2 linked regions of the Caenorhabditis elegans genome follow. The protein of the gene in region 2 interacts with the protein of the main gene of each other region in a pairwise test. Each region holds a gene or a part of one and is shown on either strand. Other genes may lie near its edges.

Region 1 (6,704 bases), on a different chromosome or scaffold from region 2:
CGTTTTATCCTTTTTAGAACTCTAGTTATGATCAAAATCACGAATAAACCACGTAAAAAGTCAAAAGGGACCTCACTATTAAGGTTTTTATGAAAATTCCCAAGATTCTGCTGGAAAAATGAGTTAAATTTGATTGTTGAAGTGAAAAAAAATGTTGCGAATGGCCTTGCGGACTACGGTGGATTTTTCTGTGCATACACCGTCACGTCTGATTGCGTATCGTGGCGAGACCCATCGAACCTCAACGCATGGCTTTTTCCGCTATCCTAAAATTTTTTCACGATTTTCGCCTGATTTTTCACGTTTTTGCGCGATTTTTTGCATAAAATTGATTGAATTTTTAATTTTTAAACGATTAATAGTGCTAATTATCGATTGTAGTTCTTATTCTGCGAGATTTGTCAGAAACTAGGTAGGAAAAGTGGAAAAATGTTCCCAAAATCCAAATTTGTCTATTTCTCAACCAGAATTTCAGTTGTAGGGGGTCCCTCTTGATTTTCAACACAAGGAGTTTAATTATTACCGGTAGATTGTTTAAGCATGCTAGCTCGGGTATGGGTCCGTGGACTTGCAGCCACAAAGAAAAAACCGCAAGTTCTCGTCAAAGATGGACCATCGCTTCAGGATTTTATTTCATCAGGTAAAACTCAAACAATATTGTTTCATAATCAAATAATTATTAATTTTAGCATCCGTGGCAGAGGCTGTTGAGAAGTACGAAGGAAAACTGAAGCTGGAGAAAGGGGACAGACGTTTGCGACTTCCACCATGGCTCAAGAAAGAAAAGGTATAGCCTATCAATTTTTTGCCCCTCATCACAATTGTTTTCAGATTCTTCCATCGGAAAACGAAAATGTCAGTCGTCTAAAAAAGCAGTTGAAACATCTCAAACTAGCGACTGTTTGTCAGGAAGCACGGTGCCCAAATCTTGGAGAATGCTGGGGAGGATCAGATGACAGTCTAGCAACAGCGACAATCATGTTGATGGGAGATACCTGCACTCGGGGTTGTAAATTCTGTTCGGTCAAAACTGCTCGAGCTCCTCCACCATTGGATCCTATGGAACCGGAAAATACGTCGACCGCCGTTGCTTCATGGGGTGTCGAATACATTGTTTTAACATCAGTTGACAGGTAACTTATTCGTATCTTGAGCTTTTAATCAAAGTAATTTTCAGGGATGATTTGCCAGACGGTGGAGCCGATCATCTTCGCAAGACAGTACAGCTGATGAAGCTCAAGAAGCCTGAACTTCTCATCGAATGCTTATTGCCCGATTTCGCTGGAGATAAGATCAGTGTGGAGAAAATGGCTACCAGTGGACTCGATGTATATGCACATAACATTGAAACGGTTGAAAGACTGACTCCATGGGTCAGAGATCCACGAGCTAAATATCGGCAGTCTTTGGACGGTAAGCAGCTTTTTTTTTTTTCAGAATCTCGTAAATATTATTGAATATTTTTTAAGCTCTTCGATACGCAAAGGAAGTCAGCCCAAAGCTAATCACGAAGACATCGATTATGCTAGGACTGGGCGAAGCTGAAGACGAGATAAAGCAGTGCTTGGCCGATCTTCGAGCTAGCAATGTTGACGTTGTCACTTTCGGTCAATACATGCAGCCGACAAAACGTCATTTGCTTGTCAAAGAATGGGTGACCCCCGAGAAATTCGACCAGTGGGCAGAATATTCGAAAAAACTGGGATTCCTTTACGTTGCATCTGGCCCTCTTGTTCGCTCTTCGTACAAAGCCGGAGAATTCTATTTGAAAAATGTGTTGAGAAATAGACAAAATTAAGATTACTGAAATATGTAAATATTAGAAGAATTTGTGCGGGATTCTTGCCAAATAAATTCTCGAAATAGTTTTCATATATTTATTGTTATGCGCGTTCTCTCGCTTCGATTTATCTCTCTTCCTTTACTCTCGTGTATTTCTAAACTTTCCCCTTCTTATCAGTATTTATTTCAGGGTAAACGATGGGTCTGTCGAACAGAGCAATCATCATTGACGGAAAGAACCACCTTCTCGGTCGGTTGGCTTCCATCGTTGCAAAGAAGCTTCTCCAAGGAGACAAGGTTGTCGTCCTCAGAGCTGAAGAGATCGTCATCTCCGGAAACTTCCACCGTTCCAAGCTGAAGTACATGAGCTTCCTCCGCAAGCGTTGTAACATCAACCCAGCCCGTGGAGCCTTCCATTACCGTGCTCCAGGAAAGATCTTCTGGCGTACCGTCAGAGGTGAGTGATTTTAAACATTATCTGTACTTAAATTAATAAATTCTCTATTCAGGAATGCTCCCACACAAGACCAACCGCGGAAACGAGGCTCTCAAGAACCTCCGCGCCTACGAAGGAGTTCCAGCCAAATACCAGAAGACCAAGTCTCTCCATGCCCCATCAGCCAGCAGATTCCGACTTCAACCAAGAAGAAAGTTCTGCGTCGGTGAGTTATTATAATTTTTTTGATCACAACGATTATTTAATTTTCAGTTGGACGCTTATCGCACGAGGTCGGATGGCAATTCCAGGATGTTGTTGCCAAGCTCGAGGCTAAGAGAAAGGTGAAGGGAGCCGCCTACTTCGAACAGAAAAAGAAGATGGACAAGCTCGCCGTTCAAGCAAAGAAGAATGCCGCCCCAAAGATCGCTCAATACCAGAAGATCATCGAGGCTCTTGGATACAATTAAATCCATGCACAAATCTGTTTTGTTTGGTATTATAAAATTGTTGACCATATCACTACTGTTTTTTCAAAACATATTCAGGTTACTTGTTGAGAGTCTTTGTTTCATATTTCTGTCTCACTGCATGTTTTCGAGAGGTCCCACGAAATTTATTTGGAAATTGCCAGTACATTTAAGGGCAGAGAAACTGAAGGTTTTTAATTTTAGATTTTACGGAAAATCGAAAAAACACTATTTTTACTAAAAAATTAAGAGATATTTTTATTAAAACACTGCTAGATCCACTTTATGCCGATCCTCTTCTCGTGGAGCCTCTTCTTTGAATATCATCTTTTATTAATATCAGAGCTACAAAATGGCTACAATCCTTCATAAGCAAGGTTCCGTCGTCGCTGTTTCACACGATATGATGATGGTTCGCTATGATGGAAAAGGTGTTCTTTTTAAGAAGGAATTGCTCACTCGTGGATATAAACATGACGATATAGTTCAATTCAATGCTAGAAAAGCTACAACTGTAAGCTTATTTCCAGGAAAACTTTAATAAAACCCGATGTTTCAGGTAGATATTGAAGTTGGCGATAAGCTATCACAAATGGCAAACTATGAACTCGCTTGGGTTGGCACTGAGCTTAAATTTATCAAACAAGGACGAATGTTGGTTGCTGAGGGTGCAGTTATCAATATTCCCGATGATAAAGCTCAGTATATGTTCGTTGACTGGAAATATACCAAAAATCCGCCAACTCTTGCCAAGGTTTGTGGAAACGTGGAATAACGAGCAATTTTAATACGAAATTAACTATTAAGACTACAAAATTCAGATTCCAGGCTATACTAAGCCTTTGACAACCAATGTATTCGTGACTCGAGCCACTGTTCGTCCTGACGTTGAGAAGTTGACTGAAATGTTTAAGCCGGGCCAACGTGTCAAATTTGTTGCACGAGAGCAAGCGCCGAATGAGAGAGGAGTCTGTTGGAGAGCCGCGTTGGCTACTGATGAATATCATGATATTGCGGTATTGAAATTTTGAGAAAAACGTCAAAAATTTTGTTGAAATTTAAAATTTCGTCAGCTTGTCGTTTTCGCAGTCGTTTTCGAATTCAGTTTTATTGAATTTTCCCTTTTTTTTTAACATTTTTGGGAAGTTTTTCGCTGATTTAGGCGCTTTTTTAGTCGCTGGGCATTCAATTTGCTTAAAATAACTGATAAACAGCCAAAATATGTGATAATTCAAAAAAAAACTATATTCAAGCTGCGGAAATTTCAGATTTTTTCAAAGTTTGGCTCTTTTTTCGCAATTTTTGAGGATTTTCAAACTTTAATCGACTTTATGAAGCATTATTTTCGGAAAGTCTAAAAATTTCCTATTGCACCATATTTTCCCAACATTTTTCTTTAAAAACTAGTGTAAAAATATAGAAATTCACTTGATTTATCTGAAAAAAACGTTGATTTCAGTTGAAACATTTGAAAATGTGCTTCAAAATTAATTGTAAGATGCAAATCACTGATTTGCACTTTCCAGGTAATTTTATAGTACATTTTCAAATTTTTCAACTAAAATCAACGTTATTTTCAGAAAAATCAAGGGATTTTCTATTTTTTCACACTAATTTTTAATGAAAAATGTTGGAAAAACATGGATAGGCAATAGGTAATTTTCTAGAATTTCTGCGGTGTTCAATCGAAAAAAAAATTGGAAAACCCTCAAAAAATGCCAGAAGAAGAGCCAAATTATAGCTAATACGTAGTTATATGTCGAAAAAATTCCGTATTATGGTAAATATCTAATTAATTTATTTTCAGATAGATGTTCCCAACGCTCACGGCCGCCAAACTTATCGAGTAATTCCAAAAGCCGGAGTTTGTCCGCCAGCTCCCCTTCAACAACGTCCTTTAGCTCCTCCAAACCCCCAAGTTCCGTCTACTTCCGCTTGGAACATAGCCCCCACTCCAACTCCAGTCACTGTACAGAGACCTTTGAGAAAACCGGTTACTCCACAACCAGTTAAAAGTGCATTTCAAGCTCAGAAGCCACCACCAATCGATGGATTCGACTATTTTGATAGTTCAAAGGAGGCTTGTGCGGCGAGATTCCGGAACTTTGGTTAGAAATTCGAAATATTATTGGGACGCAGAAAAATTTCCAATTCAATATGAACGCTCCGCCCCGAACAGATGGGTCTCGTTGGGTATTTGGTGGAAAATGCGAAAATTCAAAGATTTTCAATCATTTTTTGTCTTTTTTGTTACATTTTCAGCCGTTTTCAATGATTTCTAAATCTACGCGGTGTGAGAATGTCTCACTGCGGTTTGATCTACGAAAAATGCGGGAATATTTTTCCAGAAAAATTGTGACGTCATCACGCTCTTAATTATGCGAAATCGGATGAGATGTCTGCGCATCTTCTCCCGCATTTTTGGAAGATCAAAGCGTAATGGGACTTTCTGACTCCACGTGAAGTCGAGATGATGGCTTAAAAATATTATTTGTCCAAATAATTATCGATTTTCGGCATAAAACTTATTAAAACCCGCGGAAAATTAAGCAAAAAAGACGAAAAAAATGCTTAAAAACGCTTGAATTTGAGGTCCCACGAAAAATGAGGTGAACGAAAAGGAGATCTGAAAAAAAAATGCAATTTTTCTTCTGCAACGCACGTTGATATTTGAAATTTTTCTTCTGGAAAACTCGCTAAACAACGCGAGATGCGGAATATCGGAGCATCGTTGTATCGTTCTCTTCGAGAAAAAATACGTTTTGTGCGTTTGGCACAATGCCAGATCTCCTTTTGCTAACTCCACTTTTCGTAGATCCCATTTTCGCAGATCCTCTTTCCGTGGGGCCTCTCGAATTTCCGGGTTTGAGGCCCCACGAAAGCGGGAACTGAACGAAAAGGGGAAATGCGAAAAGGGAAAATTGGCACCGTGCCAACGCATAAAACGCTTTTTTTCTCATTCAACGCACGACTTTTTTCGAACTTTTCTTCTAGAAGATACGCTTAACAACACGCGACGCTTAATTTCGGAGCATCGTTGTACCGTTTTCTTCGAGAAAAAGTGCGTTTTATGCGTTGGCACGGTGCCAATTTCCCCTTTTCGTTCAGTTCCCCTTTTCGTGGGGCCTCCCGGGTTTGCCGCCAAATACCTAACGAGATCCAACTGTAAGAGGCGGAGCGTTTGAAATTGGCAGTGGAGCGCGTTTTAAACGTCGATTTCAGAGTGAACCGTGTTCCCATAATATTAACGGTTTCCAATAAAATACTTTAATTTTCAGCAAACACCTACCGTAAGAACAATCCGAATTGCATTTTCTCGCAGCCTTGCTTCGAAGGAGCTCTGAAAATCAAATATCTCAATCAGATACACGAAGAATTGACTGTCATGCGTGAAGGAGAAGTCGATGTTTAATATTTTATCTTTAAAATTATTTATTTTTTTTATTTCGCATCCCACGTGTATATTTTACCGGTATTCAAATCCCCCTCGGGTACGAAATGAATTGAATTTTGTTATTTTTTTTTGTGTTTTTTCCCATTATTTCCTTATTTTCTCCTAAATTATCAGATTTGAGTTCTGGATTATGTATCTGCTTCAATATTTGTCTATTTTACAGATTCTCATATGAAAATAGGTTTTTTTAAAATATTTATCTCAGAAATTCAATTTTTTTCGATTTTTCGATTTAACAAAACCCAAAATGTTGATTAAAATAGCGGAAAAATCGCACTTTTTCTCAAAAAAAAATTGTAAAGAGCTGGAAATATAGCGCAAAAAAATCTATTTAAAAGTTTTATTATAAAAACCGAAAAAAAATCTGAAAATTGCAGAATGCTGGAGGTTTCAGCCACATTGGATCGTGAGGTGGCAATATATTTGGCCGGCGAAACCATTCGAATCACTGTGACAGTGAGCAATTTGTCACGTGGAAAACAAGGAGTTGTCGAGCAACTGGCATGGGGAAGCCTTCAGCTTATTTGCGGTAATTTTATGGAAAGTTGGCAAAAAATTAAAA
Region 2 (7,232 bases):
CTCCGAATTGTTCAGCTTCATTTGCATCCGTGACATAGGAGTGTCAGGAAATGATGGTAACAGATGGTAATTCAATCTAAATTCTCTCTCATGGCTCCTTTCAAATGACAACAAATGGAGACACATGACTCACTCTCATGTACGATTTATTTATTTTTTGCTTCTCTCCTAACAGACACATTTTCTGTCTTCCCACCCTTTGAAGATTGGCTCTTAGTAGTTGAAAGAAATGGAACAATGATTGGCTCAATTTTATCTATAAAAAGATTATTGCCATGATCATGGGATCTGTAAAATTGAAGAAAATGCCTATGTTTTATGGTGCATAGAAAATACAAAACTTGGCAAGCACCATAATAATCTTAGAAAACTCTAATCGTTAGAGCAGTAGTAGTCAAGATGCACACTCAGATTTCCAACAAATGTTCTCAATTTCTTTTTTCACCCACACTTCTTCTAATGGATCCCATGAGAATAAGTGAATTGTCTGACTTTCTGAACCTTTATCTCCTTCTTTTTCTCTTATTTCTTCCCACCCCATCCCAATGCATTTCAGATAATCTCCGCACATCTTTATGATGATGTTTCATCCTTCCTTTTCTTTTCATTTTCTTCAACTATTCTCGATTGTTTAGATTCTTCGCGACACCCATCTGTTCTCTTGAAATATTGAGACAGTTTATGGAAATTGGAGACGCAGACAGTGCTTCAAAGCTTCATTCTCCTTGTGGTCCTGCTCGTCCCATTTTAGGCAAAACACACGCGATTGTCGTCCCTTCTTCTGTCGTTTCCTTCCTCCGTTTCTGAAGCAAACTTTTCGTTTCGAATTCCCTTTTTCTTCTTCTTCTTTCTGTTTTCTATTCCACCAATTGAATCTGTTTCTGAATTCGATTTACCTAATTTTCTCTCGAAGCTTCTGTTTGCTTGGTATTTCAAAATTATATCATCACTTGAAATCCAAAAGTCCCTTGTAACATTTCAACTGAGTTTGTTATAGTTGAAAAATGCACAATTCTCCCAGAAAATGACTTAAGCTTACTGGCTGAATGTTAAAAAAATGATCACTGTGTTGTGCAGTTTGAAACCAAATAAAGTTCTAATATTTTGAAGGCCCGAGAGGACTGAATCATTTTTTAGTTTCTTTCTTGATTGATATAGGCCATTTTCGGTAGTTTCCTGATTCTATAAATTAACTAATTATTTGAATTTAGTGTGGTGAGGCTGTGGAAAGTTAATTGAACCAAAAGAAACAGAAATCTCGATTGATTTTGGCTAATTTTATATGTTGTTGGGATATTTTCTACTGTTGCATAGGTTACTTTTTTGTAAAATTATTCAAAGTTTTCTTTAAAATCAAGTTTTAAAAACATTAAGTTTATAAACTTCTAAATAGTACTGTCAAAACGAAGATCCTTGTTAAGTATATTCACAAGTTTCGGTAAATTCGAATGACCTTATTGCTAACCCAACCACATCCTAAAACATGTTCTTCGATTTATTTTCATTCACCATTCTTTGCATACGACAGAACATGTGTTAAGCTTTAAGACGGTTTTAGGTTGTACAAAACCATAAAAAACGCAGAAAATCACTAACCATGTCAGCTTTTGGTACGAAAACCAACGCTGTGTGAAATGTTGAAACTTGTTCTTGAAAAACTTCTCTAACTCTTAATTATACTTTTTCCCTTGTAGAAAACCTTCGATTAGTTTCTCATTTAGATACATGGCTCTAACTTCAACACTATCCACATTCCATATCTGACGCCATTTATTTTTTCTAAAGAGTGACTGTATAAGCCCTTTTGAGTACCTTTTTTGCCCGTAAAATCTGGCCGCCGTTCCCTTTTGATCGGATTCCTCTTTGCAATACCTACCAATACAATACAGACACACATAGTGTTGAGAGATCTAGACGGAGAAATGGAAGAAAACCGAAACCGCAAAATAAACACTGCGTGTTGTTCTGTTTTGCTGTACTCGTCTCCTTTTTGGAAGAAAAGTTGATGGGAATAGGTTCCAATTTTTGATTGGACAAGTATGATTCGATGTAACCCGTGCTCCATTGGCTCCACAAAGTCAACAAAAAGTCTATACTGAAGCCAATTTTGTACTTTTCACATATCTACAATGTCAAACATTTTAAAACGTTGTCTGTAACCATTTTTTCAGCTTCGGAGTATTATCTTGTGGTACTTTCGGACAGCTCTTACGAGATCTACATTTTTTTACGAGGTGACTTCGATTCTTCTTTTGTTTTTTTTTCCAAAAAATTTGTAGTCTTCTATTTTTGTTTCGTTTTTTTTCTAACTTCTTCTACTTCTTCTACTTCTTTGATTACACTTTTCTCACGAAATTTCAATTTCTTCTTTTTTCCGTGTGGTGGCTCCTTTCTTTCCTATTCGCTAACTGCTTCTTCATGAATAGCTAACTTTTTTCTTCTCTTCATTTTACTTCTTTTTCTTTTTTTTCCATTCCTTCTTTGGGACAGGGTTATTTGAAATTAGTGGTCGTATAACTAACCTTTTGATGAAAAACCAAGGACGTTTTGCACTTTTTTCATGTAAAAAAAGCGTAGAAGGACAAGCCTTTTGTTCACTTTTCATGTTTTCTAATCGAGATAACTTGGAACTTTTAGGGCAGTGTATTGCTTACTGATGTTCTATATCTAGTTTTTCGATTTTGGAAAATTGGAAATCATCGTTTATGGTTTTGTCCTCGACTTCCAGAAAACTGAATAATCGCCACTTTTTGACGGTTCTCAAGGTTACTATATAAAAGTTAAGCATCCAGGTGTCAATTAAAATGGAGTTCAGATTGCTAGCAAAAAACCAATGTCATGAGCTTTCAAAACGGAGCCGATAAAACGACAATTTTGTATAGGCTGCAGGTTTTTATTCATCTTGCAAAATGTGATATGCTCTAGATGTTTTTGTTACATACCTAACTAGAATAAGCTTTACTGTAGCTGTTTTAGAAATGAAGGTTCCGAAAACAAATAATGAATAGCATGAAATTATTCTGCTCGAGTCTCTAGCCGAGATCTAAAATTATCAAATTATTATGATCCGATGCCCCATTCGTTTTAAAGCTCTGAGGAACATCTTGCAACTTCAATTGCCCTTCAAAATTTCTCTCCAATCAATCTCTGTGTTTATGTGTTATTGTTGTTACTCTCTGGTCATAGAAGAATCTTTGTCTGTGAGCACATGTGTCATCTCTTCTCTCTCTCTCTCTCTTTTCCTGTTTTCTATCTTTCCCAAAGTTCAATCCTCATCTTCGTCGTGTTTTTTCTCTGAATCATCTGACTTTTTTCCCAGTTTTTTTCATGAATTCCCTGATATTTCAGAATCATTTCGCAATGCTTCTTCTCAACATCTTGTCTTCTTTATAATCCATTCGGGATTATAAAGGAACCTTATTCTTCCAGTCTTTCCCGCCTCCCTTTTTTACTTTCATTCCCCTTCGTTACATCACCAAAACCCGTTCTTCCTGTCTTCAATCTATCTGTATTACGTTATCAATGAAAAAAACATACATCTCCGTTTCTTTTTCATCTACAGACATCTTCTCTTTTCTATCATTGACATACATTAATACTTTACTTTAATTTCAGAATTAAAACTATCAAAGCAATACAAATTATGCAAAAATGGTTGATACAATTTCTGTTCTGAACCCAATTCATCTCGATTTGTCAGTCGATCCCCAGGATAATGTGAGGTAAGATGTTTATATTAATTAATTTACTGACAATTTGTAAATGATTCTTATTATACACTTTTATGTAATTTCTTTTAATGAAATATAATTCATTATATAGTATTTTATGACCACAGTAGTCCACATGTAACTGTGCTTCTTCTTCTCCGGTTTCATAGGTTCCTTAAAGAGTAATTTTCGTGAATCTGCGGAACGAAGTGCCGAACTTTTCATTGTTAATGCCTTGCCTTTCTTTGTGGAACACTACCATTTTCACTTTTACCCATGTTTGATATCTCTAGACTCTGGCAACTGAATTGCCTACAAAAACAATACAAATCTAACTCAACAATGCTGTCATCCCTAAACATTATTCGAGTAACTCTTTCAAACTTAAATTTTCAGAATCTCCGCCAGAAGCACAACATCATCATCTGCCTCGACATCATCCGACTCTGAGCTAATGAGTCCTAGGGCTGAGGAGCTTTTGAGAATGCAGGCTGAGCTCAGAGCAACACGAACGGCGCTTGCTGAAAAAGATAAAAAGATGACACAAATTCAAGTGACAGTGGATGCAGAAGTTCAAGAACTTACTGAAAAATTATTTCAGGTAAGACCAGTACAACTCCGATCCTGAGAAATTAGCTTATAAAAATTCTCGATTTTGATTTTCAAAATTTCATAAGATAATTTAAATTTTTAGAAAGTTGACCAAGTAAAAAAGATAAGAATGATATTGAAAACCGATGAAAAAGTCTCAAAACTCCCATCACATCTTCAAGTTTACAGGAGGCGTACAAAATGGTAAACACAGCAGAAGCTCGTCGTGAGAAAGCAGAAAAACTACTAACCGAATCAAGACTTGAAGTTGAAGTTCTTCAAGCAGAAGTACGTGCATTGAAAGAATTGATATCTGCTCCAGGAATGGGTCAAAACCATTTCAAGCAGACAACATCTCCAGAACATAAATCAACTTTATCAAAACTATTCAATGGATCAAGTTCATCATCAAAAAAACAAAAAGACGCTGCAAATGTATCAGATAAAAAGAAAGCTTCATCACTTCCATCTACATCAACATATACACTAACACCATCAGAAGATAGAGAACAAAAAGAAGCAAATGCAGTTGAAGAGATCGATCCAATTCTTTTTTCTGAATTTGAATTTTGGAGAGAAGCTGGACATCCGACGACATCTCATCCATTTATTGATAGAGTTACCGTTGAAGAAGTTGAACCATGTATGCTATTCGAAAACTCTGAGTTATCAGAAGAAATAATGAAGGCAATTCGAGAGAATCGTGTTCAACTTGAACCATTAAATGAACTGAAACCATCTGTAAGGATTTGTGCATTAACAAATGCTTCAAGGTTTTGTCCGTATCGAGTAAGAACTGGTGATGAGGAACAAGAATGGCATTATGTTTCGTTAATTGCCAGGAATAGGGTGAGTTATTCCACTTTTCTTGGTCTCGGAACGATTGATAATTTTAATTGAGACTGCCAAAAAGGTGCGCGCCTTTAAAGAGTACGGTAGTTTTCACTTCTCACAGTTTTGCCATTCTATTCGTTATTTTCTTTCGAAACCCTTTACTTAGAAAACGTAATAGAAACTACCTTACTCGTTAAAGGCACACTTTTTTTCGCAACCTGAATTTCAAAACTTTCAGTCGTGCCGAGACCTGGTACCGTAATCTTGATTTCTCAATTAACTCAAGATTTACAGATTGCCGCAGTCTGTGACTTCTTCACGTGTATCCGATACTTGTCCCAAGGTTTGATCAAACCCGGGCCTCGAGATTCATATTTTCACGTTGTAAACTTGCGGAAAAACATGTCACTTGCCAAACTGGGGCTAGGATTTGTCCCGCGTTCCAACATACGCCATCATTGAATTAATAGTATTTTACCATAATTTGAAACTACAGGTCTTTCACACTTTTTATACAAATAAATAATTCAATTACAAATTTTTTGGTGGTATAAATTATTCGTTTTTACATTTTACAAAAAAACAACTATAAAACGGATCATCTCAAGAACATTGGGATAAGGCAATAGAACAACCAATCATTAAGCGGATAGAAATTAAATAAAACGAGATTTTTGAAGACAAAAAAGGAAGGAAAGAAAGAACAGAACAGGATAGAAGAAAAGGAAGAAAAATCACAGAATTATAGAGAGAAAGACACACCTCGTGTTTGCAGCTAAACAAAATATGGAGAATTAAAATGTATTACGAGTGCCCAGAAATCATCTACAATTCTAGAAAATTAAGATTTTAGACAATTTGTTCTGGGCTCATTTTGGATGATAAATCTTCGAATTCACGTGAATTTGATCACTTTTTCTGTTGCAATTGATTCGCCAGCCAATCCATCGCTGGGTCGAGCCCTTCTCCTTTTGAAGCAGATGTCTTGAAAATTTGAATGGTACGATTACGAAGAGCATCCAATCCCAATGCTTTGTACACTTCAGTTTCAGTCAAACATCCAGCAATATCTTGTTTATTGGCTAAAACTGCTAAAACAGCTCCTTGAAGTTCATCCTCTTGTAGCATTGTTGCAAGTTCTTGACGAGAGATTCCAACCTAAAACAGTTGATATTAAAATCCTTACTACAAAAAATAAAATAAAATTTCAAACTTACTCGATCTCTATCAGCAGAATCCACAACATAAATGATTGCATCAGTATTCGCATAATAGCATCTCCAATAAGGCCGTATCGATGTTTGTCCTCCAAGATCCCAGACTTGGAATTTCAAATTTTTGTACTCGACTTGTTCCACGTTAAAACCAATTGTTGGAATCGTGGTCACAACTTCACCGACCTGAAACTTAGCTTATATGGTTTTGTTTTCAGCCAGAAATAAAAACCTGCAGCCTATACAAAATTGTCGTTTTACCGGCTCCATCAAGTCCCAAGATGAGAATACGCATTTCGCGGGCGCCAAAGAGGCCACGAAAATATGACATTACTCCTCCCATTGCTTCTGATCTGAACACAGATATTTAAATTGAAATCGGAAATATTTTGAAACGTTTTGAAAAATAGGAATACAAGTAAACGTGGATTTACGAGCAAAAAACGTAGAAGGCTAGAAAATAAATTCTTAATTTTTTCTTATAAATAGTCTTAAATATTAGCGAAATAAATTAAAATAACACCAAAATCCTCTCATTTTACACTGGAAAGCACCATTCCGTACTTTTCAAAGACAAAAGAGACGGAAGAGATTGGTGCAAAAGGAGCCAGGAAGGATGGACCTAGCAAGGGTCGAAGAACTCTCTCAAAAATGCTCACTGACTATGTTTTTGGAGAGAAGCGAGCACTAAATATGTCAGTCTGTGAAATGAAGAAAGAAGGTTAGGATTTGAAAGTGTGGGAGAATGAGGAAGTAGGTGAGTTGCGAAAAATTTTAATAATAAAGATAATATAAAGGTAAAATTAACCTTTAAAGGAAAAAAAAAACTTAATCAAAATGCAAAAAAAACACTTCATTTTCCTCATAATAATAAAAAAAATAA

The links.
Region 1: the proteins of rabi-1 (region 2) and M01F1.8 interact in a two-hybrid assay, tested with the Caenorhabditis elegans proteins (one large-scale study listed by BioGRID).

Annotation. Positions count from the first base shown.
Region 1 is NC_003281.10:3,498,873-3,505,576, reverse strand, and holds M01F1.8 (VWFD domain-containing protein), read left to right. Parts: upstream 1-3,031; 5' UTR 3,032-3,040; coding exon 3,041-3,202; intron 3,203-3,247; coding exon 3,248-3,442; intron 3,443-3,509; coding exon 3,510-3,704; intron 3,705-4,495; coding exon 4,496-4,796; intron 4,797-5,966; coding exon 5,967-6,100; 3' UTR 6,101-6,204; downstream 6,205-6,704. Other genes in the region: lias-1 (Lipoyl synthase, mitochondrial), read left to right, coding at 541-640, 690-787, 832-1,133, 1,178-1,413, 1,470-1,798; rpl-13A (Large ribosomal subunit protein uL13), read left to right, coding at 1,981-2,239, 2,292-2,444, 2,492-2,688; M01F1.9 (Arrestin_N domain-containing protein), read left to right, coding at 6,521-6,671.
Region 2 is NC_003280.10:8,581,470-8,588,701, reverse strand, and holds rabi-1 (GDP/GTP exchange factor Sec2 N-terminal domain-containing protein), read left to right. Parts: upstream 1-3,615; 5' UTR 3,616-3,651; coding exon 3,652-3,722; intron 3,723-4,106; coding exon 4,107-4,311; intron 4,312-4,490; coding exon 4,491-5,150; intron 5,151-5,429; coding exon 5,430-5,597; 3' UTR 5,598-5,668; downstream 5,669-7,232. Other genes in the region: arl-1 (ADP-ribosylation factor-like protein 1), read right to left, coding at 6,045-6,293, 6,353-6,535, 6,582-6,692.